Linked DNA regions of Schizosaccharomyces pombe. The gene in region 2 interacts genetically with the main gene of each other region. Each region holds a gene or a part of one and is shown on either strand. Other genes may lie near its edges.

Region 1 (10,453 bases), on a different chromosome or scaffold from region 2:
TGATTACTCTTGCTTCTCTTCATGTTTACCTTAGTGATAGCAAACTGATGAATAGTTGGCGAAACTATGTTTAAGCTCTCATCAGCTTAGCATTAATAATTCTTTTACGTTAAATGTATGATTTCTCAATTTAATGTCATTTTTGATTTCATTAGGAAAAAATAGATGACATTTACTACTGGTGAAATTATTTATTTTTCAATTCTTTTTATTATTTTGCATTTTTGCAATGTAAAAATATTATAATATTACACAAAAGGATATAACTATGAAGCTACACAAAGCATTTTATGTTCATCGCTTCTACGGCGCAGGTAATCAGACGAATTTTAAAAGTGTAATTGGTGATTTAAAAAGTTTATGTTATGAAAAGAAAGTTAAGTACAATAAGAAAGCATTAAGCATGTGGATGTAATTATTGGATGTGTTAGTTTACTCTCTGCATAAGTGCTCGGTGGTTTTATAAACTAGTGAGAAGAATGATTTCCGAGTACTACTTGAAGTTAAGAAAATAATTAATACAATCTCTTTTGAAACTAACCAGTCCATAATAGTATTCAAAGAATCTGGAAAGTACAGAATTTTTGGGAGCCTGACACTGATGCGTTATAGTAAACACGGTAATGTAAATTTGTTAAATATTTAGTTTAACGTAATGGATTGAGGGTTACCATAAATAGAATTCATAAGAAAAAATGGAGGAAGGGTGTCTTTATGATGTCCGCTAGCATTAAAGAGCATTTTTTTATTCAAGGATCGTATTCATATAACTGGAAGGCTATGTTAAGCATTTTTTTAATGCCTTTGTATGATTATTGTTACCTGATTTATGTTTACGTTATCTATGCGTGGTGTCACTAATTTGCAGTATATGTTCATGTGAGACGCACATTCGATAATTTACCATTAACGTGCAAGTTACATTTATTGAAAGTAGGTAATTTGCATTCTAATGGGTGGTCTCGTTGTTTTACTTGTCGGCCTTTTGACGGCCTTAATGAGTGTAGTTTCTTACTATGTCTCGCCCAAGGGAAATAATACTAGGTAAGAAGTTTGCTACTGATTGGAGTGAATCATCTATATATCGAGGTATAGCAATTATGTTCCCATTTAAAGTCTTGTGTTATGATCAGTAGCTTGTTTTTACTTCGTTTCATTTTCGTTTAGAGATATGGAAAAGTATATGTGATTGTCTTTCTTGCAACCAATCAAGGTAGCGCTGTTTAGGCCTTGTCTTCAGCTGCACATGGACAATCTGGAATTGGGATCAGTTGCTTGTATTATATTTTCATACTCCTTCCTTTAACAAAAGTTTTATTAACTCTCAATTAGTACTTGGCAGATGTCATTAATTCTTACTTTTTCTTGTTGCTATTTATTATGGTTAGTGCATTTGTGGTGTTCTTATGCATCCATATTGTTTTTCTTTTTTACTAACATCGTTCTTAGGGCAATTACTTATTTAGCACAGTTGCATCCATTAGAGGCTCCATCTCGAGTTCTTGAGTAATGAAGTTTAGTATAATCATAGTGATTTTTAATGTTTGTACATTCTTCCTCTTTTATTTTACTTATCGTTTAGACTGCAAGCTTTCCAATTAGAATCTACTTTTGAACCTTTTCCTCTTCCTATTTTTTGATACTATTCGTTTCTGATCGTCGGGCTCAACTTTCTAGTCTCTAAAATCCTATTGGTGTTTGTCGATTATTATTACAAATCAAACACGTTTGAGTATTTCTTATTTTTATAATCCATATCTTTAAACGTTTCTTATTTTAATATATATATGGAGTCAGTTAAGTCATGGCTGGAACCTGGCGTTATTTAAAGGTCGGTTCACGTGGATTTCAACATTGCATTTAATCTTTGCGAAAGGATATACCTTCATTATTTCTTTTCTTTGATTTTACTAGATTTATTGGTCTCCCCGTCTTTTGGTTGTCGCTTTTTCTTTTACTCGGATGTGTGTATGAAAGGCGACGTATATTTACGTTATCAAAAGCCTTGCTACAAATATACTGAATCATATAGAAATACAATAAAAAATTGAAATAATAGACACAACAGGATATTCAAAAGTTTTTTTGGTGCCAAAAACTCTAAGATGTTGTAAGTTTAGTTTAATATTTGGACTGAAGTTCATGATAGTAGTGGCGCTCCTAATACGCAATTTTAGTTGACTAAAAAAAATATTTGAGATAGAGAAAGTCTGAATTGTTATTAAAGGTCTACTGGCTTCATAAACACAAGTTCGCGACTATTCAACATTGTTCCACTATAGCACATAGACATTTGCACACACTGATAGTTAAGAAATACATTTTACAGTGTGATTTTGAACGGATTGGTTTCTTGAAAAGATAGGAAGACTGAAAAAATAAAGATTCGTATATAAAAAAAGCGAAAAACTTACACTAGTGATGTTGAATGCGATATAATTTTCTGTTATGAAGAAAAAAGGGTTGAACTTACCAAATTTACGCATTTACTAGATTTTTCGTGTATTATACCTTTTTAAAATGAAACAAGAATATATTCCGCTAGACGAATTCCCAAACAAGTCTAATGAAGGGATGCTGAATGATGAAGGTACCTCTTCTTCTGGCTTATCGACAAGAACGCGTAGCTTAGAGCTTTTTGACAATATGGAAGAAAGTGGCTCCTTTCCAAAAGTGGAAAGGAAAATACAATCGCTTTTGGATGAGCTGGCTGAAGTGTTGTTTCAATCTAAACAGCCCAACGACTTGACCAGGATTCGAAAAGCCATCGCTGAGCAGTTGCAGTTATGGTGTCAAGCTTGTCAAGAAAACGCTGATTTATATAGGAGCCAGCAAAGGAAATTGAAGAGCCGTTGGGACTCGCAGACAGACATTTTATCCCAAATTGAATCGACCAAAGCAAGTCTGGCAGAGGTGCACAAAGCGGAAGAAATATCGAATCTAAAGACAAGCATTACACATTTAGATGAGGAAATTCAAATTTTGCAGGAAAAGTTGGCGATTGTAACGAACCAACGAAACACCCTTGTAAAACGACTCCAGACTTATGATAATCTAGAAAAGAAAAAGGCACTCAGTATGGAAGATCGCCTTTTAACTCTGCAGGAGCAGTATGATGCACATGCTAATGTATCTTCCCTTGAAAAACGGATGGAAGTATTGAAGAAAAGAGAAGATCTTTTGCGACTAATGGTCGGGCAAGCACTTCCAGGAATGCAATTCTTCCAACGTTTGATCCATCAAATCCAAGCTGTCGAAACAAAACTAATCTCAATACTGGGGCCTACTTCTTTATCAGAAGCTGCTTTGCCTCCATTAACTGACGTTCAGCGCACTAGTGTATTATCACTCTTGACCTCGACTCTTCACTCTTTGGAGTCGGCGAGACAGATTGCTGACTCCAATACATGGAAGCCAATCATTGTTTGTTTAGAGCTCGAAATTGTATATTTTGAGAATATGCTTACTGCGATAACCTCGACTCCCGTTTCTTCCTAATAATTTAATTTTCATTCCGTATACTATCAATACAACCTTCTAATATTAAAATATGGTCATTCAATGGCACAATGCATTCCTTGGCGTGTTGACCGACAGCCTTACTACTTTTACCCTGCACGGCTTCAAGATACCTGTTAATTGTGGAGAAATATATATTTCATACATGATTTTACCTCCAGATTTTCAGCCTCATCTAGCACCACATCGTTAAAATCGTATATAATATTTATTTCAGCTGTATTTTCGGCATGATATTTATTTAATAACACCAACTTTGATCATCTTTGATTTGTCTTCTCAAACTCTCTTCTACACAACAAATGACAAAATGTTAAAGTAATGCGAGTCGAGTTCATTAGTGATTCAATTCAAATATGCTATTGAATGCCTATTTCCATACTTAAACTGTCAATCTCCTACCCAAATCAAACACTGTCATAATAAACATCCCTGAATCTAAAGCTACCTTAATAATCTTTGTTTTGTCTTGTTCAACCATCAACCTACTACAAACGAAACAGTTTTCAAAAAGTAACACCATTTTAGTTTTCAAACAATTCTACGCTAATACCACGTACATTCACTTTCGGTTCACATAACCGATTCTGTCAAACATCCTCAGAATGTCGTTTTCCATTTCGAACCCATTCTTTCAGTTTTCCATTTCCATTCAATACGACACAGTCGTATGAAGATGGATTCTAGCTTATTTGCAAAATGTCACGGAACCAAGAAATCCGATTTTGAACAAACGACATTGCGGCTCCTTGTTCGTCGCAATCCTCCGTTTGAGTGAAATTCATCGAAATCACTTCTAAAGCTACGCTGTCTTATTTTTGCCGCACTCGGACTTTGACATCACTCTTAAAAATCATCGAGCAATAGAATTGTTGATCAAACGGCTTGCCACGCACTTTGTCTGCTGGTGGTATGAGACGCTAGTGAAGTTAACTATTACAGCAAACATCGTTCACCTACATATATATTGAATTGAAAGCCCGCGTTGCCGATGGGCAAAACGAATGAAACAAGAATCTTCCAATAGCGAAATTTAGACATCATATCGCAAATATTACTTTTAACTGCGTAGTTTAAAATTCAGGATCGAGCTTATCTGCAAAAGAAAAGAAAGGGAGATCATTGTTCTACGCTTATTATCATAGCATTCCCCGATTGCTACTGACCTTATCAAAACTATTCTTGCAAATCCCATTCTCTTTTCGCTTCGTTTTTGTCCATACAGTGGAGTTTGGGAATTTTTAAAATCTTTTCGTTTTTTTTACGGCTTACAAGATTTAAAATTTCTCATTCATACACTTGATTACTTATTTTATTGTTTCGTTTTTGTGTGTGTATTTTGTTTCTACTTGTCGTTACTCCTGTCATTTTCGTTTGATTAATTAAAAAAAAAGATATAAAGGCTAATCTTTTCTTATCTCTGAATTGGAAAGGATTTCTGCAAACTATTCAAGCCACCGTCTGCAATTATTATCGTTATCTTGCCATTGGTGTGTCAGTAAAGTGAAGCAGATTGTCAAAATATTTGATTTACTAAATATATTATAACTGTTTCAGGTAAATTATCTTATTGCTTGAGTAGTCAAATTAAGGATACTGAGATTTCTATATAGGAATTCCTTCATATATCCATCTGATAGCCATTGCGCAATTGATTTGTAATTCCTTGCAAACAGACATTGTTGTATGTTTGTATAACTGAAAACAGATCTTTGTCGCTATATAGTGTTCTCCATTTATCCTACAAAAAAGGCTTACAAGTGTCAGTACTTGATTGACTTTTCGAGTTTTATTTGGCCTTGATAATTAGTATTTCGCGGCTCGTTTAGAACTTTGCTTGTGTTGCCCAAAAGTTATTATAAACTTTCATTTGTTATTTAAATTCGTTTATTCTTCCAATTAAAGCTTGTCCAGTTTACAAAGCAAAGCCTGTTAAACACTATCGAGATTCAAAAGTATACCTAGTGTTCAACCGCTTTTTCTTTGTGTTTGTTATAAATTTCTGTATCTTGTGCTTTTGTTTACATTCTTGTCGGTTTCTACCTTTCATCATGACTCCAGTTTCCTCCGATTATCGGCCTAATCACATTTTCCTACCCAAATTTCGTCCTGATAAAATTACTTCTGAATGTAATACGCCCCAGCAACAGAATGTTATTGCTGAAGGTTTATACAATGTTAGCGAACCATTTCCCATTCGCAATACAGATGAAGAACGTTATCTAGATACCAAAGAGATTCACCATACATGGGATAATACGATTAAAAATGTTGTTCGAAGTATCGTTTCCATTAAAGGCTCCGCATTACGCTCTTTTGATACTGAAAGCGCCGGTAGTTTTTGCGCAACTGGCTTTGTCGTGAATAAAACACTTGGTCTTATCTTATCCAACAGACACGTTGTTTCTCCAGGACCCATTTCAGCTCGTGCCTCTTTCATAAACTATGAAGAAATTGATATTTATCCCATCTACAGAGATCCTGTTCATGACTTTGGCTTCTTTCGTTATGATCCATCTTCCATTCGATTCCACGATGTCACTGAAATTTCACTTTCCCCTGAATCAGCCAAGGTAGGTATAGATATTCGAATTATTGGTAACGATGCTGGTGAAAAATTGTCTATTTTAAGCTCCACTTTGGCTCGTCTTGATCGTCCAGCTCCAAACTACGGAATTGACAACTACAACGATTTTAATACATTTTATTATCAGGCAGCTAGTGGAACTAGTGGAGGCAGCTCTGGCAGTCCTGTTCTTGACATCTCTGGTGCCGCCGTTGCTTTAAACTCGGGAGGATCCAACAGCAGTGCCTCTTCTTTTTATCTTCCTCTGGACCGGGTTGTTCGAGCTTTGCGATGTATTGAGAACAATACTCCTATTACTCGTGGTACTCTTCTTACCGAGTTTTTACATTGGTCATACGACGAACTCAGTCGCATTGGCCTTCCAAGGGAATTTGAATACGATTGTAGAACCCGTGTTCCTAGTAGTACTGGTCTTTTGGTTGTTTCGCGAGTTCTCAGAAATTCTGAAGTCTCTAAGGCTTTGGAACCTGGCGATATATTAATTGCTTTCAAAACAGACTCTCATAAGTCTACATACATTGTTGATTTTGTCTCTTTATTCGAAGTTTTAGATGAAATGGTCGGTAAAACGATTGAGCTGCATGTTTATCGTCCTAAACGTGGTTTTTTAACGTTTCAACTGACTGTACAAGACTTGCATAACGTAACGCCTTCACGCTTCTTGGAAGTCGGAGGCGCGGTGCTTCACGATTTGTCTTATCAGCTTGCTCGTTCATACCAATTTTCTTTAAATTCTGGTACATATGTGGCTTCTTCTGGTATGCTCAATTGGTCCTCTGGAACCCGCGATTTTTTAGTTACCAGACTTGCCAATAAACCCACTCCAACTTTGGATGCTTTCATTGATGTTTTGGTCCAGTTGACGGATAATGCCAGAGTGCCTATGCACTTTAGAGTCCTTGGTAAATATGAAGAAGAATTCACGATAGTGACAGTTGATAGACACTTTTTCCTGGCTAGCATCTTTTCAAGGAATGATGAAAAAGGGACATGGGACAGACAAAGTCTCCCTCCTCCTCAGCCGTCTATTTCTCGCCGACCTAGTGTAATTCCGAGACCACAAGAGGGATCCAAAAGTATGGAAGCGATTCAAAATGCATTGGTTCTGGTTCATTGTCGAATGCCATATAGCATCAACGGATTCAGCTCTACTAAGCTATACAGTGGTACCGGAGTAATTGTTTCTGTAGTGCCACCATTAATAGTTGTCGATCGTTCTGTTATACCTGTTGATATTTGCGATATTCGCTTGACCTTCCAGTCGATGAGCGCCATGGGTCATTTAACTTTTTTGGACAATAGAATTGCTGTAGTCTCGTGCGATTACTTGCCCAGTAACTCTGTGCAACTTAACTTCGTCGCTGATTTCCTGCGGACAGGAGATGAATGCACGCTGGCTGCTCTCGACGAAGATTTGCAATTGCTGACAAAGAAAACAACAGTGCGAAGTGTATCTGTTGTTGAAACAGAACGCTCTTCTCCACCTAGATTCCGGTACGTAAATTGCGAAGTCATTTCTTTAATGGATTCCTTAGCTTCTACTGGAGGTTTAGTGTTTCGAGAAGTAGGCGACGATCGCGAAATAGTAGCACTCTGGATATCTGTTGTTCACCAAGATGTTGGTGGAAAAGACTATACCACTAAATATGGTCTTTCAATGTCTTACATTCTTCCCGTTCTCGAAAGGCTTAAGTTACCACCGTCAGCTCGTGCGCAGCATGTGCCAACAACAGCTGGGGTGGAATGGTCACATATCACTTTGGCAGGTGCTTCTACACTTGGATTATCCCAAACCAGATCGTCTGAATTTTATATGAAATCCAGAGAAAACGGTACCATCCCTCGACCTTTATATGTGATTTCTCATTTGCGCCCACTACTTCACAAAACGTCTCTTGGAGTCGGTGATATTCTGTTGGAGGTTAATGGAAAGATGATTACTCGTCTATCGGACCTTCATGAGTTTGAAACCGAGAGTGAAATAAAGGCGGTCATCCTTCGCGATGGAATTGAAATGGAAATAACAATTCCCTTGTATCCCGAATATCCCACTTTTAGTTCTCGTGCAATTTGCTGGATGGGTGCTATCATTCACCCAACGCATTCAAGCGTTTTCGAGCAAGTTGAGCCTGATGTTGATCTTCCTGGACCTGAAGGGGTTTACGTCGGCAGCATATTATATGGCTCGCCAGCTTTGAATATGCTTCGTGCAGCGCATTGGATAGTTGCAGTAGATGGTCACGATATTAACACTTTTGACGATTTCTACCATATGTTGTTAGAGAAGCCTACTGATACTTTTGTTCAGGTTAAGCAAATGAACCGTCGTGGTGCTACTAGTATAGTCAGTGTTCGACCAGATCCCTTATTTTGGCCTACTTGTATCATTGAAAGAGATTCTAATGGTAGATGGTGCACTAAACATTTACAGCGTAAGACCAAAGAAGTTTGTTCTTAAAATTCCTTATGTCCCTTTGTTTGTATCATATCGATTTGCTATTATATGCCTGTTATGTTTCATGAATGTTAACGTATATTAACTGTTCTTCAAGAACTAGTTGAAGAAATGAAATTTTTCTTTTTAAATTTTGTTTTTAGACCAAAACTTACGTAGCTCTGCACTTTTGAAAAGTATATTTATCTATGTTTTATTACTCTAGTAAAGTATTATGAGGATTTATTTTAAGCTGGAGCTGATTATTTGAACTTGGAGCGGTTCACTTGGTTGCTATAATAAATTGAAATGTAGATTCACATACCATTATTTGCAAATTCGGCTTAGGTTATTAGGCGTTAATAAATCATCATTTAATATTTTTTAAGTTAATATTTTTATTTAGGAGGCTTAACTTACTATAAATAACTATATTTGTTTATGAGCATAAAGTTGGTCATGTAAACAAAGGGCTCATTTGTTTATACTTTATGTGATGAGGAATATATTCCAAGCACACAACTCTACACACTTTAATTTTTGCACAATAGCATTGATGCTCAATTATTTTTAAAACCACCTACAGAGGTTATCAGAATTTTGGATAATATGGAGTTATTGACATTTACTTGTTGCCCTTTTGAAGGACAAATGCAACAAAAAAAAAGACGTTTTGATGCTAATCTAGTACAACTACAAGAATCTGAACATAGAAATGACCAAATAAATGAAACAGTGGATGCTGAACTGACTAACGAGTGCTGGAAATTATATATGCGACTAAAACCTTCTAATGAAGAAGTATCCAGGCGTCAACAATTTGTTGACAAGCTGCGCACTATTTTAAGTACCGAAATTAAAGATGCTAAATTGGATCTCTTTGTATTCGGATCCACTGAGAACAATTTGGCTATACAACAGTCGGACGTTGATGTGTGCATTATCACCAATGGTAGCAAATACTTAAACTCAACATGTCAATTGGCTCAATTACTTTACTCTTGTAAGTTATCAGTATGTCTATTTTAATTAAGCTAACCAGGAAACAGATGGCATGAAACAAATTGTCTGCGTTTCAAGAGCACGAGTCCCTATAGTTAAAATTTGGGATCCACAGTTTGACATACACTGTGACTTAAATATTAATAACGACGTGGCAAAGATTAATACTAAGATGCTTCGTCTCTTTGTCTCAATCGACCCGCGAGTACGGCCACTAGGATTAATTATCAAGTATTGGGCAAAGCAAAGGGCCCTATGTGATGCTGCAGGCAGCGGAACAATTACATCTTATACAATTTCTTGTATGCTGGTAAATTTTTTGCAAACGAGAAATCCCCCAATCCTACCTGCAATGCTCGATTTAATGAGTAATGATGATAATAAAATGTTTGTTGATGACATTGTCGGGTTCAAGGAGAAAGCAACTCTCAACAAAACATCTTTAGGGAGACTTTTAATAGATTTTTTTTACTACTATGGATTTTCGTTTAATTATCTGGACTCAGTGGTATCTGTGAGATCGGGAACTGTACTGAACAAACAGGAAAAAGGTTGGGCCATGGAGGTGAACAATTCTTTATGTGTCGAAGAGCCTTTCAATACTGCTCGAAACCTTGCAAATACTGCTGACAATCCTAGCGTCAAAGGACTTCAGAGTGAATTTCAGCGGGCATTTCGACTTATGAGTGAGAATAATGCATGCGAAAGGTTGTGTAAAATATGCGAAGAATATCAATTCCTAGATATTACCAATGAGGCAAATTATGGGAACACGAATACTCCTTTCAATACCGCCTATGAATCATTTGGTTGCAATCATACTGTTTTACCTGAAGCTGCTGCATATCCAAAACCTTATTATCCTCCTCAAATTACCCTATCCGATGGAGGAAATATGAACTTTCTCTACT
Region 2 (10,108 bases):
TCATAATATCATGTTCGCTAGAACCAAATAGATTTCATGAATGAAGCCTTCGGAAGCTCGTGAACATGCCATAAGGAAGATTAAGGAGTATCTAGAAAGGCGACATAAACAACAGTTTAAGGCTTTGTTTGGATGTCTCACGATCAATATATACTTAAAGATATTCACGCTCATTTCTACCCCAGATCTGTGTAATTGCCGCCTTGTTTGTAGAAAATTTCAACAATTATGTGATTACAATAGTATATATGTGAAAAAACTACTTCTTATGAATGCTTGGGATGTTACACTTTCTCGAAAGCTTTATTATGAAAGTCAAGATGGGATGTCTCAAGCAAATATGTCTTCCAACACCAGCAAAGGCTTTCATTTACAAAGTAGTGATAAAAAGTATGCTGACTCTGATCGGCCTAAGCTGTCCTCCTCGTCACTTCTTTCCTTACCCGACCAAAAGATCCCTTTTCCTGTTGATTACTCAACAGTGCAAGGGAAGCAAGTAGTTTTGACAGTTTTGGATTGTGTGAGTCAAAGAGTTGAATTTGCAAGATTGGATTACATAAAGGTTTGGAGAGCATTGGCTCCTATCTACCGAAATCTGGCTTATGCTAGCAATACTATTGACCCTATTGCATTTTCTGCTTTTCGGACGCCAGAGGAGCAATCGAAAGTTCTGAAGTATTTAATTAGGTTTGGAAATTCTTATCCCTATGGAACTTATCGACAGGCGATGCAAAATGCCATTCTTGACATGGCTTCATTATTTGAGCAAGCTTGTCTTGATGAATTTGAATTAGGTCTTCATTCTCGTAATCTTGATCTTCTTCGTAAGTTTTCTCATGTTCTTCATGATTTTAGTGGTCCAAATGCATACGTGAGCATGTATCTAGCAAAGCAAACTGATTTTGTTAGGTCTTTCTTCCATTTTGATCCGTATAGTTTGTTTATTTCCAATAATCTAGAAGAAATTCACATTAATTGGAACATCTTGGAGTCTGTTGTTAACGACACTATCAAGCTTTTAGAGTCGGAATCCAAATTCTCTGAAGCTACTTTACCTGAGCCTGAGCTTGTCCAGGTTCCTTATGCTAAAGACATTCTTGGAAATTCACTAAAAGACTATGTAATATCAATATGCGAGCATATTGGTGAAGAAGAGACCGAATTGTTCCTTGTTTTTATTTCTGGATTTTATGGCCTATGCAAGAAGTTTTTTTCGATTCCTAATGGACCGGCTTTAGTGGATACAATTTTTCAACCGCAAATTGATATTTTCATTTCTCAGGAGTTACATTACTTTAAAACTGTTGGCTGGTCGCTGGTTGATCAGTGGGACCAAAAGCTGGAAGAAAAAGAAGACGCTACAGAATGCTTTTTTTACAAAAATGTCAGCCAGAATACTGCCAAAAATAATTTTTTGGAAACCTTTAAAAACGTAATGCTGCTTCCAGTCTCTCTTTTTACAATACCGTCAGAAAACAATAGTGCATCTAATTTGGCTGAGAAAGCGATAGAGCAGAAAGAAGAAGAAGATCCAGAACTTTCAAAGTTGGATGCTGCCCGATTTGTTCCTGCGAATATATATGTTTCTAAGGACCGATTGAAACATCTCCCTACTACCGAATTAGCCGCGCAAGCTGCTGTATTGGACTCAAAACTTGAAGGTATCAGCACCATGTTTAGTTTGGAATTAGCTTTGAAAATCGTCCATCTTTGCAAAGTTAGTTTAGCTCGTGCTAAAGTATTTATGGGTACCTCGGTTCCTCAAGATGATGATATTAAAGGGCTTTCGAAGGACTTATTCGTTCAGCTTCTGCGGGAGTTAGGTCAAGGCCACTTAAAGCATGGGTTTGATCGAGCAATCGAGCATCTCTCTTCTTTTGATCCTCGACGCGACTTTTCTAGTAATACTGTAGAGCCAGTGGTGAAATTTTTGGAGCTTATCAATGTTGGTGATATGATTCAGCAGATGATGGATAGCTTTTTTAACGAAGAAATGAGTCCTATATGTGTGAAAGATGATATGTTTGACCCTGCAATTGCAGAAAAAAAAAAATTCGAGCAGCTTTTGGATGAACGGGCAGCTTTCGGATTACACAAAGGCATTAATGTTCTAATTGAGCATGCCGATTTTTTGCTGGAAACTAAAACACCAATGAATTTATTTAGTGACCAAACTATAGGTTCCATAACGAATACTATAGAGCCTACAGCTGCTGCCAAAAATGTGGTTCAATTTTTAGGTTTCCACATGCGTATTCTAGTTGGAAGGGCCGATCATGAAATCCTTGATGTTTTTTATAAGGAAGTCGGAATGAGACTTTTCGATTCCTTAACACGTTACATAAAATCTCATAAATTCAGTGTCGATGGCGGGCTAAAGTTACTCAGGTGAGATTTTATTCCTTATGTTTAAGAATTATAAAACTGACTCATTTTAGCGATTGTAATTTGTATTATGAATTCATTCACTCTCTTCATCAAAGCAGCCTTTTACCATATTTTAAGACATTGAAGGAAATTGCCCATTTATTTATTATTGATGGAAAAAACGCCGAAGAGATTGGAAAACTGGCTACCGATACTTCTCGATTTTCTAGCGCATTTCATACCGAAGAGGTTTACGAAATCCTTCACAGTCGTATTGACTGGTTAAACATCAAATACGAAGTAGATAAAGTAATCCATGGACTGGCATGCTGTATAATGTAAATATTTTTTATTTTTTGTTCATATCCTTTTTTTGTTATTACCATACACTTTAAAAATGCATCTTGCTTTCTGCTTTAGGCTATAATGTTTGTTTAACAAATTCGTTTTTTGGACCTTTTTTAGGTTTGTGTCTATTATAATATCCTCTAAAAGTCAATCAATTTTAATGTCATAATAAATCATAAATGCAGTAGTTATTAAGGATAAAAGCCAAAACCATTTTATTAACCTAAACCGTAAAAGAAAACCAAATTCCTGAAATTAGTTCTAAATTTTTTAACAACAACTATGCTACCGAAAGCGTAAATATCAGTGTGACCATATACGGACTGCTTTATCAGCGCCTCCAGAAGCGACACGCTGTCCATCCGGAGACCAATCCACCGCAAAGACTTGATCTTCATGACCTGGTAAATCAAACTTCATCTTTTTGGATCGTACATCCCACACCTTTAGCGTCGTATCTTGAGAAGAACTGACCAACAATCGTGAATCTGTAGACCAGGCACATTGATAAACCGCAGCAACATGACCACGCAAAGTTGCAAGGAATTTACCGGTTTTTCCATCCCATAGCCTAACTGAGCTATCGAAACTAGCTGTAGCAATACACCGTCCATCAGGAGAAAATGAAGCATGGTTTACTACCTTTTGATGTCCATGCATTTTTGTGATGGGCTTCGTTGATTTCTGTGGATCCCATAATATTAATTGCAAATCATCACTGGCAGAAACCAATCTCTCTCCTGACTGTTTTAAACAAGCCTCATAACGCTCTTTGGCCTTACGACGCTCATCAGAAAAGCTTTTTGGTTTAAAATCAGTATGATCATATGCACCCGAACGCAAGACATGCTCGGTGGACAAGGAGAGATGGTTCACACGAGCGGCATGACCTTTTAGAATATGCAAGCATTTTCCCTTCAAAATTAGTAAGTAAATAATCCCTAAGTACAATTTCCTTCACTTACATCTTTAGCATCCCAAATCCGTATGGTTTTATCATATGAGGAGGAATAAATCCAGTTTTGACCGCCCCAACGGACACAAGTAATTGGCGCGGTATGACCCGAGAGAGTAAAAAGCAACGTCCTTAATTTGACATTCCAAATACGAACTGTATTGTCTTTTGATCCAGAAGCTAGTAAATAGGGGCCACTGTCAGGAGCAAGATGCAAAGGTTGCCAACATAGTGCCATAATAGGTTTCGTATGGCGTCGTAGAGCATCACCTATAGGGCTCCCCTTTTTGGGATCCCAGAAACGAATCTAAAAATATTAGTGACTTGCGACAAAAAAATCATAAATCCATCAAAAAGTTACTCACCGTATTATCCATGCTTCCTGTAGCTATGATAGAGGCATCAGGGGCCCAAGCGACGCAAGACACCCAGTTAGTGTGACCCTTCATGGTTGCAATAGGGGTTTGCGTATCACAATCCCAGAGCCTTGCCGTGAAATCTCCACTTCCAGTAACTAGCCTCGAGCTTGTGCTAGGCGAAAATTGGGCAGATATAATGGTACCATCATGGCCATTCATTGATGCAGTACAACGAGTAACAGCACGGACACGAAATACAGCTTGAGGAGTGTAGAGTAACGTTAAGTGATCCTCAGTTTTCATAAGTCCATTGTGAAATACAGAAGTGTATAAATTATCTTGAATTTCGATAGTTTCATCTTCATGATGAAGAGCAAAATTATACGGAACAGGATCGTCGGACTGTGAGGATTATGTTAGCACATTTACAGAAAAAAAACTTTCATTCTTACATTCTCTAATAATTGGTTCAACAAGGCTTCCAATTGCCTAACAGAACTATTTCCAGGAACTAAAAGTGATGCCAGTTCATTGCTATCATCTGACGCCCGAAACTGAACGTTAACGAGCGGGAATTTTTCAGGAATTTCTATAGTAGTAGGATTTAAGCTCTCCTTTTTTTGACGTTTACTTTTAGGAGGCAGTAAAGTCGCCATTTTAGAAGGATTTAAAAAAGGAAGGATTTGGTAGTGGTAGTAATGAAAAATACTTACACTTAGTATTCTTAAAAGAGCTGTGATCAGATAAATTTTATCGCGCCAATGATGCATCGCGATAATTTTAACAACGATCTTCAGCGAATAGAAAAACAATTATAGCTAATTAAGCTAGATTTAAGCGAGGTTATAAAAAATTAGTTTCTGCATGTCGAACAAGAGAAACAAGATCTTAGAGTTTTTATAAAATAAATTTTAGGTAATTCTTTTATGCTTGATCAAATTAACTAGAAGAATTATTGAAAATTTTCAGTATCTCAAGAAATGGTTGGGACGACGAGGTAGGTGATATTTTGTTCATTGGCTTGGGAACCTTAGTGATAAAATAAAAGCTAAAAACTAAAATAATAGTTTTGAGATTGTAATATTTTAAATCACAGGATAAAGCACCTATCAAAAAAAAAAAAGCTTTACTAACTAAAGTTGATGCTTGCATGAAGATTTGTTACAACATGCACATAGAGCTGTTTTGGGGAAGCATTGGAGTTGACCGATGATAAACATCAGACTTGAAATCTACGCCGGTTTGCACCGTTGATGCTGGGTTGGATGCTAAGCTATTACGAATTACAAATACACGGATACATTATCAGTATATGAAGGAAATGGACTATATTATCTATTAATACAAAACCCGATGAAAGGCTTTTTTTGCTTCCAGATGCAAGAGAGTTCATTTCGCTGGGAATGAAGATGAATAATTTTAAAGTAAATCATCGCAACAAAATAGAAGGAAAATGCTCCTCACGAAAATGAGTGGATACAAAAACTTTTATGCTGAATTAGCGGGAAACTCCAACCAATCTCTTAAATAAAAAGAAAAACATATAAAAATCCAAAGTATAGATTTTATGGAAAAAATCTAGAAAAGCATATCGAGTAAACAAGTTCAAGCAAGGGTATACGTGAGAAAACGAGAATATATTAAGTTAAAATACAAGCATCCCGAAAGTACTTTCAAGGACTTCAATTTTTTAACGGTATGTTTTCAACTAGCTCGTGATCTAAACTACACGAGGAGGAAATCTGAATGTTGAATTGGCGAAATTAGGTGCCGAAGAAGTATTCGTTAAAGTGGTGGGAATCCCAGCATTAGATGGAGTAGGACTAGGATGGGCACCTGGAAGATCTCTGAATTGAATCTGTGGGGTAGATGAATTGTTGTGCCATAAAACGCTACCGGTTGAGCCTAAACCGTATAGCTGGTTGAGCATCCTGGAATCAATGGAACCATCAAAATACCTCGACCTTATTTCGAAAAATATTCTCGCGGTTAGCAAGGCATCACTTCCAGCCTGATGTTGGGGTCCTATACGATGTATTTGTAAATCGTCAGCAATGTCTTGAAGACCTTTAGAGTTGTTCAACACAGATTTCATTATGTATTTTATGTCGTAATTTTTCGGAAAATAAATACAAAGAATTTTATAAAACTCCTCATATTCAGCGGGTAAAGGGATTTGTGTCATGGCTTTTAATAAATAGGCAAAGTCATATCCACTATGAAACGTTATCCACGTGACCTCCTCTTGCAAAACTAATCCACTACCAATGAGGAGCTCTGCAAAATCTGCAGGCTCTATGCCAACCTCTTGATGTTTCTTAAAGTCAATGCCACTTTTTGTGAGTAACTCTATGCTTTCCGGAGCGTACATATCGTCTTGTAGATTGAATGTAAAATTAAATTGCCATGTACATGCCTCGACAGGGGCATTTCCTTCCTCGTCACTTAAAGCAAGCCCAATTTGAATGATTTTTAATGAATCTACGTTTGCCCGTAAAGTTTGATAGTGGTAGTCATCACTACTTTTAAAGACGCCAAGAGGTCTAGCAACTACTCCTGGAAATTCTGTATCCATAGAAACAACTGGATACCTTTCTATTAGACTCATTATAAGATTCATCTCTTGTTGCAAATTCGTGGACCAAACGTCCCGAATTGGTGATATTTGGGAGCTGATTCCATCCACTCCTAATGCAGGATAAGAAAAATTCGAATTCATCGCTGTCATTACGTTTTTTAAACAGCAAAGCTATAATGTAAACCAACCTGGAAAAGTAGGTTTTCGTTTGGTGTAAGTAGACTTGGATTGTTGAAGAATCCGCTGAACATAGATGCGTTAATTGTGAATACTGTAATATACCACAATTTCCTTATATGAATTCTTCTAATCACAAGAGAAAACATTGATGATGAAACTAAAAGTTAGTCATAGAAGGGTCAACTATTAAGTTAGGTATTAACTAACCTACAAGTGAAACTAAAGTTATTTTAATGGAACAATACTGTCATATGTTTGTTTGGAATATTTATTAAATCAAAGACTTTCTGTCGGCTTACCAAGCTACTTTGGATAACGATTTGAACTTGGCAAAAAAATATGCAATCTGACTTTTGTTCTTTATTATAAACTTCTCGTATCTAAAAAATATTTTTTTAAGTAAATTTATGCCATTAGTAAGTCGACAGAATAATTTTAAAGCTGCAACGATTAATTCGTTCAAGCTCATTTATTAAGGGAGAGTAGCAGCAAGAAAGCTAAAGTATGAGTCACTTTGTAGAGTGTTGAAATGTTATCTTTAGTAAGTACTAAGTCCAGACCTCAGTGAGAGATTTCAAAAATACTATTTTCTGTAATTGTATCTTAATGTCAGCAATCGAATTGATGAGCCTAAACTTAAGCAATCTCATCTAAATTATTAAGATTTGATCTCTTATTTGGCAACATTATAACTGAAAGATTTTACTTTTCCCTTCAAACAACTCAAAAGAATTGTTGAGTCATGGCTGTCTTTAGTTAGTGTTAGTATCGCAAGAGGAAGACATGCTCCTTCAGCAACGATCTATCTTCTTTTCAAAATATGTGTATTATTAAAAACATAATAAATTTGCAGTATTTGGAATTCAAAATTTATTCTTTACTTTATAAGCCCAGCTTTGAATTCTTCAATAAGCAACATATTCGTTTTTTGTATGTTAAATAAGGTTAATTTTAAACGAGGATACATGTACCACTAAATTTTAACAAAATCCTATTAAAAATTAAATTTGTTTTTTCCCTAACTTTTAAATTACTTGTTTGCAGGTATTTCAGTTTAAATAGACATCTTAAAGGAGTATTTGAGTTCTTTTTTCTGACTGTATTCAATTAGAATTGGATTTCCTTATGGCTTAATGCCGCTTGAAAGATATGGAAATATGACATTAACAAATTTATACAGAAGCCATTTGACGTTCAATTCCTTATTCTATTTTCCAGTAGTAGTATTGCATTGAATTACCAGCACTAGAATTTCCCTTAAAATTTGTTATATTTACTTTTCTCCTTAATATTGATGGATGTTCAAATGTATGATTTTTCACCTTCGCGCTACCTATTTATAAATTTTTTCTTCACACTTTGATATTTTATTGTCAGTTAGTATTAATATGAGCCTAATGCATCTTGGCCCGGATTTATTTCGACGCAGGGATTTTGAAGGCAATAAATATAATCATTAACACTTTAGGTAAATGAATCTAAATTCTCGTAAATTTTTTTTTTGTTTAAATCAAATTTAATTTTCGGCCACATTTTAATAACAACATTTAATTTAATTTAACAGGGAACTGTTAAAAAGCCTTGATTATTGAACCAATTCAATATTTCCTTCAAAAATTAACAAATATTATATTTCTAAAATTTAAGCTACTCGAAGACTTTGACAAATACTGATTTAAACCTTACTGTAAGCAGTTGTCAATGCAGCTCTTACATTAAAAAAATTATTTAATAAAAATTGCTACACAATTAGGGTTCTTTTCCGATTCCTGCATTTTTACGGATCTCTTCTTTCGTATGTTTATCCAAGTTTGGTTCGAGTAACCTTCCAAAGTTTATAGAGTTTTAAGAAAAAGCGGTACTCATTTTAGAAAATTATTTTAGTTTAAAAATTTTTAAGGCTTGGAGCTGGCTTTTTCATACTTGTTATTCCTACCTGATGAATCATTCAAATAATTGTGCGTCAAATATTTAGTCGTAAAAATATTCATATTTAATGAAACAGTATTCAGAAAAAGTTGATTTAAAAACTAGTAATATTAAAAAGACATGAAAACAAACCATTTTTATATTTATATTTGTTGAAAAGTGTATGTCTCAAGAGTTACTATTAGTGTTCAGTATCATTAGATACATATAGCACTGGAAAGATCAGATCTTACCCAATACCAATTACACGCCAAATAGGCCAATCGAGGGTTCGTGTATTTTGGTTAAATACAAAAATTAAAAGTTTTTCAATAAATCTGTGATTCTTGTATTCACCTTGGCGTCGTGAAGACAAGCAATTGTTGATCAGAAGACAAGGTTTCTTCATCCAAGTTACTATAATTGTTGGATCGCCTTTGAATGATTATTAGTTTAACCAAGTTGAAAAAATAAACTAATTAAATAACAAAACAAAAAATTTATATTATTTTGCCCTATATATATTTTTTTCTTTAATCAGGAGTCTGAAATATGAGAAAATTTACTCCGAAGTTCGTCCCACGAAGAAAAAATGGGCCTGTTGAAGAAAAAGATGTGGATGAGCGTGTTAAGATAGAATTTGACGTCGAATCTCAAAAAAAATGGAAAGCTTCAAGGCCGAAACCAGAAATAAAGCTTACTGCCTCAGGACCTTTTGCATTAGGCCCTAATGCCTCTTCTTCTGGTACTGGCCGCCCCATAGGGTCTGTGTATGTGCCACCTCCTAATGTCAAAAACGAAGAAAAAGATGATGCCCTGTCCAAACTTGCTGCTTCTTCTGGCCATGATGAAGGCCATGATGAGGACATGGTCGACATTCTTAAACTTCGAGAATTAAATGGCCAAGAGCAGGGGAAGACAGATATTGGAGGGAAAGATCTTTTAGTCCCCATAATTACGGATCGTATGCTTCCTGAGTCGAATGATGAAAAACTCAAGCACCATGCTGAAAGCGCTATTCATACGACAGTTATTAACAAGGAGGACGAAGAGCAAGAAAGAGTTGCCTTGGATTTGCAATCCTTAGCTCAACACCTTGGACTGACTGAGCAAGAAGGAATGGAAGATCATTTTAAAGATCAAATGGTTCTGATGCAATTCCCTGACAAGCTTCCTAGGTTTATGGGTGATGCGGATGTCGATCCAGTATGGCCATCGTCCGAAGTCAAGGAGGAAGAGGCAGGTGAAAAGACTGACGTAGAAGAAAAAAAGGATCCTGATAAACATGGACGAGAAAATGGTAATATTGACGACTTAACATCTTTACCCTATCCCGCATTTCACCCACCTGCTGGTCAGATTGGAGTTTTGCGTGTTCATCAATCTGGAAAAACTACATTGGAGATGGGAGGC
Region 3 (11,403 bases), on a different chromosome or scaffold from region 2:
TAATTGCGTTAATTAAATATGCATGAAGAACCCATTTTACTAAATGTACAAAAAAACTAACAGAGAGAAAAGGTATTTTATTTATAGACAATTATAGAAAACCTGTTTATTAAATTAAAAAGAAAGACATAGTTTTTAAAGAATTGCTGATCGTATATGCTCGATTTGTTCTTGAACACAATGCTTAGCAGTACCACCAATTGAACATCTTTTTTCAACACTTTCTTCGTAATTAAAGACTTTTGAAACGTCTTCATCAAATAAAGGATGCAATGATTGCAAATCAGAAACTGATAACTTGTCGAGAGTAGTGTTTCTCTCTTCAGCCATGCGAACTGCGGATCCCGAAATATGATGAGTTTGGCGAAATGGAAGACCTTTACGAACAAGATACTCAGCCAAATCGGTAGCTAGTAAATCGGGGGTCAAGCTTTCGGCAATCTTTGTAGGATTGATGGTAAGGGTTGAGACAACGCCAGTCAAAATTTGCAAAGAGTCAGAGACGGTCTTAAAGGCATCAAATAGTGGTTCCTTGTCTTCTTGCAAATCTTTGTTATAGGTTGTAGGTGTGCCTTTAACAGTTATCATGAGGCCAATCATATCACCTAAAACACGACCGCTCTTACCCCGAAGTAGCTCTAAAGAATCAGGGTTCTTTTTTTGGGGCATAATACTACTTCCCGTAGAATACGCATCGGAGAGTGTGACGAATCCAAATTCCGAGCTCGAATATATGATAAGATCTTCAGCAAAGCGAGAAATGTGAAGCATTACCATGCCTGCCCAAAACATAAATTCGATGACAAAATCACGATCACCAACAGCATTCATGGAATTCATGATAATGCCTTCGAATCCAAGCTCTTTACGAAGGAACTCGCGATCGACGTTGAAAGGGTTGCCAGCTAAAGCACCAGCACCCAGCGGTAATTGACTTACACGAGTATACAGCTGACGAAGTCTGCCAAGGTCACCTAATAAAGGCAAGGCGTGAGACATGAGAAAATGGGACCAACGAACAGGCTGAGCCCTTTGTAAATGCGTATAACCTGACATTATTACATCAATCTCCATCTCAGCTCTGTTGGTAAAAACTTTAAGCAAGTTAATGACATAGACTTCAACCTCTTTGATTTTTCTGCATAGCCATAAACGCAAATCGGTGGTAACTTGGTCATTACGACTTCTGCCAGTATGTAGCTTGCCAGCAACATCACCGATTATCTCAGTTAATCGGCGCTCGTTTGCTGTGTGAACATCTTCGTCGGATGGTTCCAAAACGAATTGACCCGAATTCCATTCTCTTTGAATTTGTTCCAATCCTTTTAGGATGCTATTCAGCTCTTCTTCAGATATCACATTTTTCTGGCACAAGGCTTTTGCGTACGCCATGGAACCAATAACATCTTCTTCGCACATTTCCTTTCCACTATAGATGGATTTGTTGAATTCTGCCATCAGTGGATCAGTAGCTCCTGAAAATCTACCTCCCCATAGTTTTTTGCTTGATTTTTCTGCCATAGTGCCAAGATGCTTTTATTCAATATTATTTTCAGTCTACAAATGATGGTCTAATTTTCCTTTACTTATATAATAGCGTGAAGAAATGACTTTTTCTTCTCAGATATTCGCACTTATCATTTTAGCTTTTTTCTCTAGTTTAGATAACACTATACGAATATGGGTCAAAATAACATCCGTGGATAGCAAGTACTCAACAATCAAGCTCTTATTGAAAGTTGATCCACTGCTAAATAGCAAGTTATTTTACCAAATACTAGATAGTTAGTTTGGAAAACGCTTTGCCAAATGATCAATAGAGTCGGAATTTTTGTAGACGAATACCGAAATTGAAATTAGCCACCTAGAAGTTGAGTTTCATATTTTTCTTTTCTTTTTCTTTACTTTACATAGCAAATTCAAGTATTCAACACCATTTTGATGAAATTTCTTCCAAAAGGCTGTTTCGAAGTGAGGTGTGGAAGCATCCACTTACAAAATCAAAAACAGATGTTCGCTAGCAATGAAATTCCCAGACACATGCCTAATTTTTACAATAATGAATAAATAATACATTCTTTATTGTTTAAAAAGTTAAGTCATCTCAAGTTAAGTTGCATATCTTTATTCAGAGCAAATTACTCTAATAATAGGGAACAAATTAAAGTAGAAAATTGAGTTGTAATATATTACCATTTCTCATTAGTTATGGAATTTTTCATAATACATTTGCACATTGTTGAAATAATTTATTATACGAGCTATGCATTTGAAAAACCTACTCGTGCTAACCAGCATTACTTTCGACACACTAATGAAAGAATTAGCTACATTAGGATCTTGAGCTGTTGTCAAAATGCTTAACGTAAATTTAAAAGAAATATTTCAACTTGGTCAGACTATTGACGATCTAAGTAAAAATGCAAACACTGATCACGAAGCACATAATATTTAAGTACAAATAGTAAAAATCACAGGGTCAGTTCCTCTTGACAAATTTTTAAACAGTGTTAAGTGCAAGGCCGGCATACTTTTTATAAACATATTTGTCTCAAAATCTGAAACCTTCCTAAAAGTGATTATTAAGTAGAACACAATTTAAAATAATCTGCACTTTCAAAATTCATATATTTCCAAGGAAACAATATTTCTTTGACTTTTATAGATGATTCAAGGGCAGATTCGTACTCTGCTTTCGACATTAAAATGCTCATTTATGACTGATGTAAATCGCTTAATTCCCTCCTCAAAGTCCTCAAAGTCAGCAATTGAATATGCGAAACGGAAAAAGATCTTAGTACTACGTTCTGGATTTGCCATAAAAAACTGACCACAAACAGTTTTTACACCTTTTTCTACAAGCGCTAGGAATATTTCCATTTCAATTTGGGAAACTGACTTTTTCGTATCCGAAAAGCGGTAATGATTTAAGTTTAACTCAACCCACAAGAATAATCCAGCTCTTGGTACGTGATAAATACAAACAGAATTTGGTAGATACTTGTTTGCTACATTAAGGAATGCGTTTCGACGAACAGTATAAGAATATTGCAGCTCCTGTAACCATGCACAAAAGCCCTCTTGACCCCAATTATGCAGCATTGCATACAATACAGATTGGCAAATACCAGACGGGCTTTCCGTGCATACTTCTGCAATCCGTGTAATATGATCAATAAACATTGAATTTCCAGTAATATAGCCAAGGCGGGTTCCTGGAGCAATCAGTTTAGAGAACGAATCAAGTCGCAAAACTCGACCTTCTGTGTCTAAACTTAGCAATGAAGGGACCAAACTCTTTAAAAACGTTGACCCATCACATTTTTGCTGTGCAGGGTTTAAACTTCCGTTATAATCTTCCATTTGTAGAAAATAGTATGGCTCATCTTCAACGATGATGATATCGTATTTCCTTGCTAATGCTAAAAGCTTTTTGCGCCGACTTAATGACAAAGTAGAACCAGTAGGATTTTGACCAGTAGGAACTGTGTACAAGACATGAGGTCTAGGTCCCAGAGATATATCCCAGTCTCTCATAATTTCTTCAAGACTTTCAGGAAGCATACCTTCCGAATCCATATCAACAGATACAAATTGAACACCTAGGGCTCGCATTGCGGTGATGGCAGCAGGATAAGTGTACTTTTCTGTCAAGACATGATCCCCATAATTGACTAGCAGTCGTAAACAATATTCCAAACCACTTGTATTACCATTACTCATCTTAATATCCCAGTTTTCGTATCGGGGAGCATGAATCCGCCGAATGTGTTCCTTTATAAATCCCACCAATTCAGAAATTCCTTGGCATTGGCCATACTGCAAGGACTGAGAGAAATTTAAAAGACCCTCAGAAGGATCAGCTTTTATGTTAAATGTTACATTAACCTCTTTGGCGTATGTCCCATTTTCCTCCTTAAAGCAACCAAGTTGAGGAAACTTGATAGAAAGCTCACGGATAGCAAACTTGTTAGGATGAGGTAAACCTGAGGAAAAAGATATAGCGTCAATCCCTGTACTACTTTTAATTCTTCCTAACATTTGAAAAGGGCCTTTCTCACGAGCCTTGCTTTCTCTCGACAAATGATGGCTAAAATCCTCACTATTCCGGATCATATTGTCAAAAATATGCGATAGACTCAAAAGAAAAATTGAAGTAGTGATATGACAAGGAAGCCTTTATAAACTTCTTTGGCCAGTTTAATCATTCATTGATTACTGTCATATTTCACTTTGGGCGGTGGGAAATCATGATCAATCCATGGATATGCACGTCTACTGACTACGGTCCCATTTGGATACAATAGGAACAGATATGAGCATTTTTTGAGATTTCCGATTTGGAGCAAATTCCGTTCCACGGGTCAACTATGGAGAGGTTAAAGAAACGAGACTTTAATTTTTGTCATCTTACTATGCCCCAGCCGTGGAAGTCGGAATGATGATCCACGGATCTAAGATAACTAGTGATCGTCTTTGAAGCAAAAGTGTTTAAATACAAGTATTGGAAAATGTTGACAAAAGTTTTTGATTACATTTGCAATCGATTAAAATGGTGATATGAAAAAAAAAAACACAGAGAATAGTGTGCGCCTTGAAATATTTCAATAAGGAATATATGAGCTTGGTTCATTTTCTTTTCAATATGAAACAAATAAAAGTTTTAATCTACCACTAATAAATAAATTGCTTCTGTTGTAAGCAAATACTCAATGGCTGCATATGCTGAATTTTTTTTATTGTTTACGTTGAAACAACTCTTTGTAGTTGGTTCATTTTTTTTAAAACCTTACTGAGTACATGCGAAAATCCTTTTGACGATTCTCGAAATGTAGAAAAGTAATATTTATAATAAGTATTCAAAGAAAGAAGATTACACCAACAAACTCTCCAGTTCAAAAATGTTGGAACCGACAGAAGATTTAAGTTCTAAATAATGTTCTGCAGCATCAATACAATCCAAAGCAACGCGAGATAATTTGTCAGCAAACTCTCCGTTAATCTCCTTCATTTCGACAAAAAACCGATAGAGTGAATACATTCGATCCAAGTCCTCGATTTTTTCATCACTGGTACCTTTTTCCATTTTTAGGATATTGGAAAAAAGGATTTGAAAAGGTGTAAAAGGACAATAGAGAAACAACCATAAGTAACAAATCTTTTTAAAAATTGGTTCAATAACCATGAAGTAGCTTCTTATGGCATCTGCAGCTTTCCGTGCAATTTCTAGGCATGTTTCATAATTTGTAAGAGGATCGTAAAAGTATAGTTGAGTAATACAATACGATAAGTAAATTTCAACACAAGCAGTAAATATATGTTGATTTTCGAAATCAACATTCTTTGGAATTGTCCCATTTAATTTAATAACATCGTAGTACTGTTTCAGCTCGTCTGGCAAGTTCCTTTCCCAAACAATCAGTTTTCCTCGAATGCTTAATACGGCTTCCTTATAGACCTCTTCACTTGCCGAAGCTAAACACTTGTATATTTTTTTCCTTATTTCGTTTTTAATAATGGTTAACTGGATTTCTGAACAAAATACTATACCACCTTGACTTGACTCTGTAAACCGAGGCAAAACATCCATGGATGGAAGTTGGCAATCAATTTCTAGATCACCCAATTCCGGCGGTGTTCCAAATATCAGAGAGGTAGTTGTTTCGAATATATAACATGTCCAAAAAACCCGTCTATTTAGCTCGTCAACTTCAATGTCGACATTAGGATTCGTAGCTTCTTTGTGAAGATCCAAATCCTTAACCATTAGGCACATTTGACCGCACAAAACTTTGCAAAGATTATATAAAGATAAATGTGCACAAAATTGTATCATAATTGTTAAAGCTTGGATTTTATCCAGGCGCGCTGTAAGAAAAAAGCCAGGTTTCTGGACCAAAAACCAACTTGTAGAGAAAAGCGATTTTGATATTTTTTCTTTATCTTTTCTTTTGCTACGGGACACCGCTAAAGCCATAATGGCATAGAAGGAGACAACCCAAGCACCTTTTGTTTTTTCTTTATCGGAATAAAAGTTATCAAAAAGGTCCATAAAATTTTCTAAATCAAATAAAGGCCAACATGAATTTATATAGCGAAAATACCACTCAACACACCGATTGGCCCATGCTTTTTCTGGTACATTGCGATATACACTAATCCATGTAGGGAAACTTTGAGGAAACAGATCATTCATGGTGTAATCCTTGGGATGAATTTGGAAAATCCCTGGATACCTTCTCATTTTTTCATCTATTAGAAAACCGCAGTTTTGAATTTGCTGTACAAGCGATGGTATCTCGTTCGACGTTTCTCTCTTTTCTGACAGATCGTAGTTGAGCAAATTTAGCATATCGTCAATCCGAGATTCCATATTAACAGATCTTTTGCTTAACGTTATAATATGATTTCTCAGTTCAATCATTTCGGTGTACTCTCGAGTAATACCAGCTGTTGACTTCTTTACAGGCGGCTGCCCGACGACGATATGTGGGTCATCCTTGTCTACGTTTGGCTTCTTTACTCTTTTTCTTTTATTATACTTGCACGTTTCTGAGTACACTACACAATTCTGGCATTTTGGCAATTCGCCGTTACACCGAAGTTTTCTTTGCCTGCACAAGTCGCAAGCTGTGCTAATTTTTTTTATTGGTACCATTGTTTGCACATTTAAAAACTTCCAACAACACAGTCTTTTAGGCGTTTTTTTGGAATATTAAATTTTTTTGAAACTACTCGTACAGGGCACCTTGCAATATATACAATTTTGGAATTTTGTGCCATTGATAGTAAACAATGATTATCGCCGATCGATTTTTTCGCTTAATTTCGAGTATATTTCAATGACGCGAGCGCCATGATAATAAATGAACATTCCTTAAATGGGACAGATAACAAAATAATCAATCCAATTTATGGGTGAGAGAATTGTTCCTTACTGCTTGGTATCAATTTCAACCTGCCGTTCTTCATGTGATCTTACAAAAATCCATTAGTAACATAGCTTCATCATTATAAATACCATGGTAAACAGCCAAAAAATGATAATAAACAAGTCTAATCAAAAAGAATAAATGTGAATATTAATATAATGAATAGGATCAAAAGATAATGTTAGGATTTGGAGCTGAAAGCAATGGGAAGCAAAACTTTTGAATGCTACCAAATTATTCCGAACAACTACTTAAATGAAAAAATCTTTAACAATTGCTTGATATCAAACAACTTTCATTTTAGCTCGGAAATTCATTTTTAAAGGCATGAAATAAATATTGGAAGGAGCCATAATCATTCACATTTTTTGTACGTTAATTAATAACACTATGTTTCAATGTCCAGGCTTACTTATGTTAATTTAAATAAATGTGTTGAATCCCAGTTAATTGCCTAATGAGATTTCGACTTTGAGGCATTATTTACTACCATCCGAGGTTTTCAATCAGGTAGTTAAAAAAACATAAAACAAACATCAAAAGAGGTATATGATAATTAGAGTTACATATACTGTATCATTAGATACGTTGTCTCGAAAAAATGAGCTTAGTGTGGCACCAATCTTTTTTTCTTTTCTTGCAATTTACTAGACTCCACGCAGGTGGTCATTTTCAAATACTGTTTGTTTCTTTAGCTGGGCAATTTTTACCGGTAAAGTGCGCACATTTTCCTATCCAGCTCGTAAATATATTTCAAGCATTTTACTTCTCCTCTTTTGTTAACCACAGAGAATAGATAATTAATACACTTTCTTTTCTTATCTCTACAGAATCAAGTCGATCAGGTATACATTTTTACGACGAATCACTTTGAATATTATTTGTAGCAGAAAAACCATCGTCTATAAAATTTTGAAACTTCCTTTAATTGAACATCATAATTTTATAGTCCCGAAATATAACTACTATACATTAACCAACAAATGTTCTTCCCTATTTTTAAAGAAGGTATTTATAATAGCTCTTCCTTTTAAAGATGACTGCTTCACTGGCTTTGTATAGAATTTTTTTTTAAATTTGAATAGCGAAATGTACCATATTCGCAATGTCAATTATAGCACTATTAGGAATACGGAGTAATTATTTAACGCAATTTTGTATATGTACGTTGCAGATTATGTGTTTACTAAATGCCAAACGTAGAAAAATCCGTGGCTTTCAAATATCCTCTTTTTTAATCCATTATAGGCTGTTTTATTGCCTTTTGACCTATTTTAAAACAAAAAATCAATAATTTTCATCTAGAAACCACCAAAATATTACTTTTAAATTGTTTTTAATCACTTTAACGGGCTCGCTTTTAAAAAGCGATCAATTCAAGACCTTTGAGAATTATGCCGGAAGCATTAAATGAAAATGTTTCAGACACTGCATCAAATGGGCCTGTAGCAAAAACTAGAGCACCTCCTAATACTTCCTTTCGCCAACAAAGGATCAAGTCTTGGCAGCCATTGTTAACCCCTAAAATCGTGCTTCCACTTTTTTTTGTGTTAGGAATTATATTTGGTCCATTAGGAGGAGGATTACTTTATGCTAGCTCTATCGTACAAGAGCTAGTTGTTGATTATACGGATTGTGAGACTCTGGCTTCTTACGATGAATTCTCTGCCGTCCCTTCCAAAAAGTACACAGCTTCATTTGATCAATCAGGAACTATTGGATTTGACAAAGAATCAACCTACTGGAAACTGGAGAAAATTCTCGATAAAGATCTAGATATGGACGTTAACTACTGCATCATAAGATTCACAGTCCCATCTGTTTTAAAGGCGCCTATTTTCATATATTACCGTTTGACAAATTTTTTTCAAAATCATCGACGGTATGCTAAAAGTGTAGATGAAAAACAACTACAGGGAGTGGCTTTAACTGCTGACGAAGTTAAAGGAGGCAATTGTTTTCCTTTGGAAGTTAACGAAGATGACAAACCATATTATCCATGTGGTTTGATTGCAAATTCTCTTTTCAATGACACTTTTTCGTCACTGAGACTGCTGGATGATAATAGTGTTTACACTTTTTCTACCAAAAATATAGCTTGGGCTTCAGATAAAAGACGATTTTTGAAGACAAACTACAGTCCTGATGATGTTGCACCTCCTCCCAATTGGGTTTTGCGTTATCCTGATGGTTATACTGAATCAAACATGCCAGATTTGTCAACTATGGAAAATTTACAGGTTTGGATGCGTACAGCTGGTCTGCCTACTTTCAGTAAGTTGGCTATGCGGAACGATAACGACGATATTTTTCCAGGAACATACGAAATAAAAATTGGGTTGTTTTTTCCTGTTAAGAGCTTTGACGGTACCAAATCTCTGGTTCTTACGACGAGATCGGTGCTTGGAGGAAAGAATCCATTCCTTGGAATAGCTTACATTGTTGTCAGTGCTGTTTGTGTTGTGTTAGGTACCGTTTTTACATTAAGGCATTTTATCCGTCCAAGAAAGCTTGCCGATCATCGTTATTTAAATTGGGATTCTGAAGAAAATAATTTAGCACCCCATTTGAGTGATCGTCCTTAGGTTTGTCGCGATTGCCGACTATTTACAACTCTGGGTTGTAATTGCAAAATTAGTTTCCTCATAGTAGAAGGAGTTTTCTCTGTCTTCTTTTTTTTTCTACGCCTTCCGTTGTCTTTAGATTTCTTTTATTTATCAAAGGGTAGAACTATGTTGTTTTAGGTTTGATGATTACGATTGCTAATTCTGACATTCATATTACATCTTTTTGCTATACTCAATTTCATTAAAATATGACTTTTGAGGTATTTTGATGGACCCCTAATTTTCTTCATTACTGGCTTTTCAAAGGTAGTATGTGTTTTATATTTTGCTACTCAAATTAGTTTATTGTAACACACTAAATTTATCATTCAAAAGATCTTTGGAATGCCTTTACATGTACCATTCGTTTACATTTCATTCTTTTACGCTTTTCTCTTTAGTCTCATGAAACTGAGATACGGATTTTTTTTATCAATTAATAATTCGCATTATTAGCAGAATTTGTTACTGAAGTGTGCTAGCAGGTCATAACTGCTATTCTTTAGGATAAAATTGTTATGCGTGCTTACTTTGGAAACTCTATACCTGTTAATGATACTTTGGTTTAACATACTGATGAAAATATTACGCTGTTTGTAACAATCATAAATTTTTGCATTTTTCTTTTATACTAAACCGCTATTTGCTTTCCTCTGCTGCTCCATTTCTTGTCGTTCAAACCGTTTAAAGCCGTTGTTGACTATGACATTTGTATAATTAAAATTAAAAGCGTTGTAAAAAGGAAATGCTGGTGCGTAAAAGAATGCACTTGTGTATTGAAGTGTTGTGATTTGAGGACAGTCTACAATAGGTATGGCGATAAAAGTAAAGTAAATATCACTACTACCTGAATTTTGCAAGCTTATTGATATACGTGAATTGAACATTTATACCATGCCATACTGTATCATGTCAACAGGTCTAATTGGAATACTACGAAAAAAAATCATCTCTCGATATACAAAAGTCAGCACATGCTTGGCTGTATAGCGAGAACAAAAACAGAAAAAGACGATTTTGGTTATTCCTACAGACTATGCTAGCAATTAACTTATGGAGAAGTGTGTTCTTTAACCTTGCCCTACATGTAAAATATCCACTTGTAATTTAAAAAGATATTTCACAAAGTAAATTTTTCTTTTGACAATATTACAACCTTAGCTAATTTACTTTTTTTCTACCCATTGGATTTACTAATTTAAGAACGTGAGAAGCCATAAGTCAATATGGAATGAAGCAATATCTTATTGACAAGAAGTTTTCGTAGTTAACTTATTTGAGGAGTCTATTGAATACACACTGGGTTGACAATTAATTGCTCTATGTCAAATCGACTGGGGAATTAGCAATAACCATACTAATGTGATACAATGAAATGTAAATTTACAATTAAATAAAAGTACTTAATATTTCAAATATTAGCAACTAGCCGAAATTTTGGAATCATTAGCCAAAAAAAAAATTAACGCGCTTTAGCAAATGTTCTGGGTTGTAGATTTGCAGATAAGACACTCTAACGAGACTATAAGTTATCCAAGGCCGGTTATTTGATATTTAACATTTTCACTAACTTCAAACTGTCCTTTTAAAAATGGCGGGATTGGAATCAAAAGTTTCTGATATGAAAATAAAATCAGACGTTGTTTTTTATATAGACGAAGCTTCCGGTAATGATGAAACTGGCAACGGAAGTCAAACATCACCATTTAAAACTGCAATCCATGCTTTGGAAACTGATGCCAACTGTACGATCTTTGTCAAAAAAAATGGCAGTGAAGAGTTTGAGCCTATAACCACCAACGCTTTAAAGAAGGCGAAAAAGGGAGTTGAACAAGCCGCTAAGAAAAAGGCTAAGGCAGCTGAAG

What was found.
Region 1: mutations in caf1 (region 2) and SPOM_SPBC1685.04 together harm fitness more than expected from each alone (negative genetic interaction), as found in Schizosaccharomyces pombe (one large-scale study listed by BioGRID).
Region 3: mutations in caf1 (region 2) and mug89 together harm fitness more than expected from each alone (negative genetic interaction), as found in Schizosaccharomyces pombe (one large-scale study listed by BioGRID).

What each region holds. Positions count from the first base shown.
Region 1 is NC_003423.3:500,353-510,805, forward strand, and holds SPOM_SPBC1685.04 (uncharacterized protein), read left to right. Parts: upstream 1-2,311; 5' UTR 2,312-2,520; coding exon 2,521-3,498; 3' UTR 3,499-3,841; downstream 3,842-10,453. Other genes in the region: vma9 (V-type ATPase V0 subunit e), read left to right, coding at 953-1,044, 1,333-1,383, 1,450-1,510; htr11 (serine protease), read left to right, coding at 5,571-8,564; poly(A) polymerase Cid11, read left to right, coding at 9,150-9,543, 9,590-10,453.
Region 2 is NC_003421.2:1,960,090-1,970,197, forward strand, and holds caf1 (CCR4-Not complex CAF1 family ribonuclease subunit 7/8), read right to left. Parts: upstream 6,766-10,108; 5' UTR 6,758-6,765; coding exon 5,750-6,757; 3' UTR 5,341-5,749; downstream 1-5,340. Other genes in the region: exocyst complex subunit Exo5-like, F-box protein Pof6, read left to right, coding at 41-2,388, 2,439-2,709; ribosome biogenesis protein Rsa4, read right to left, coding at 3,019-3,630, 3,681-3,977, 4,036-4,431, 4,482-4,685; oligosaccharyltransferase complex zeta subunit Ost5, read right to left, coding at 6,766-6,944, 7,095-7,157, 7,214-7,256; DNA-directed RNA polymerase III complex subunit Rpc53, read left to right, coding at 9,248-10,108. UniProt on the Schizosaccharomyces pombe protein: Acts as the catalytic component of the CCR4-NOT core complex, which in the nucleus seems to be a general transcription factor, and in the cytoplasm the major mRNA deadenylase involved in mRNA turnover.
Region 3 is NC_003423.3:303,415-314,817, reverse strand, and holds mug89 (phospholipid-translocating ATPase complex Lem3 family subunit), read left to right. Parts: upstream 1-8,120; 5' UTR 8,121-8,326; coding exon 8,327-9,517; 3' UTR 9,518-10,903; downstream 10,904-11,403. Other genes in the region: arg7 (argininosuccinate lyase), read right to left, coding at 136-1,521; SPOM_SPBC1773.13 (aromatic aminotransferase), read right to left, coding at 2,671-4,116; SPOM_SPBC1773.12 (transcription factor), read right to left, coding at 4,874-6,658; asparagine--tRNA (Asn) ligase Nrs1, read left to right, coding at 11,130-11,403.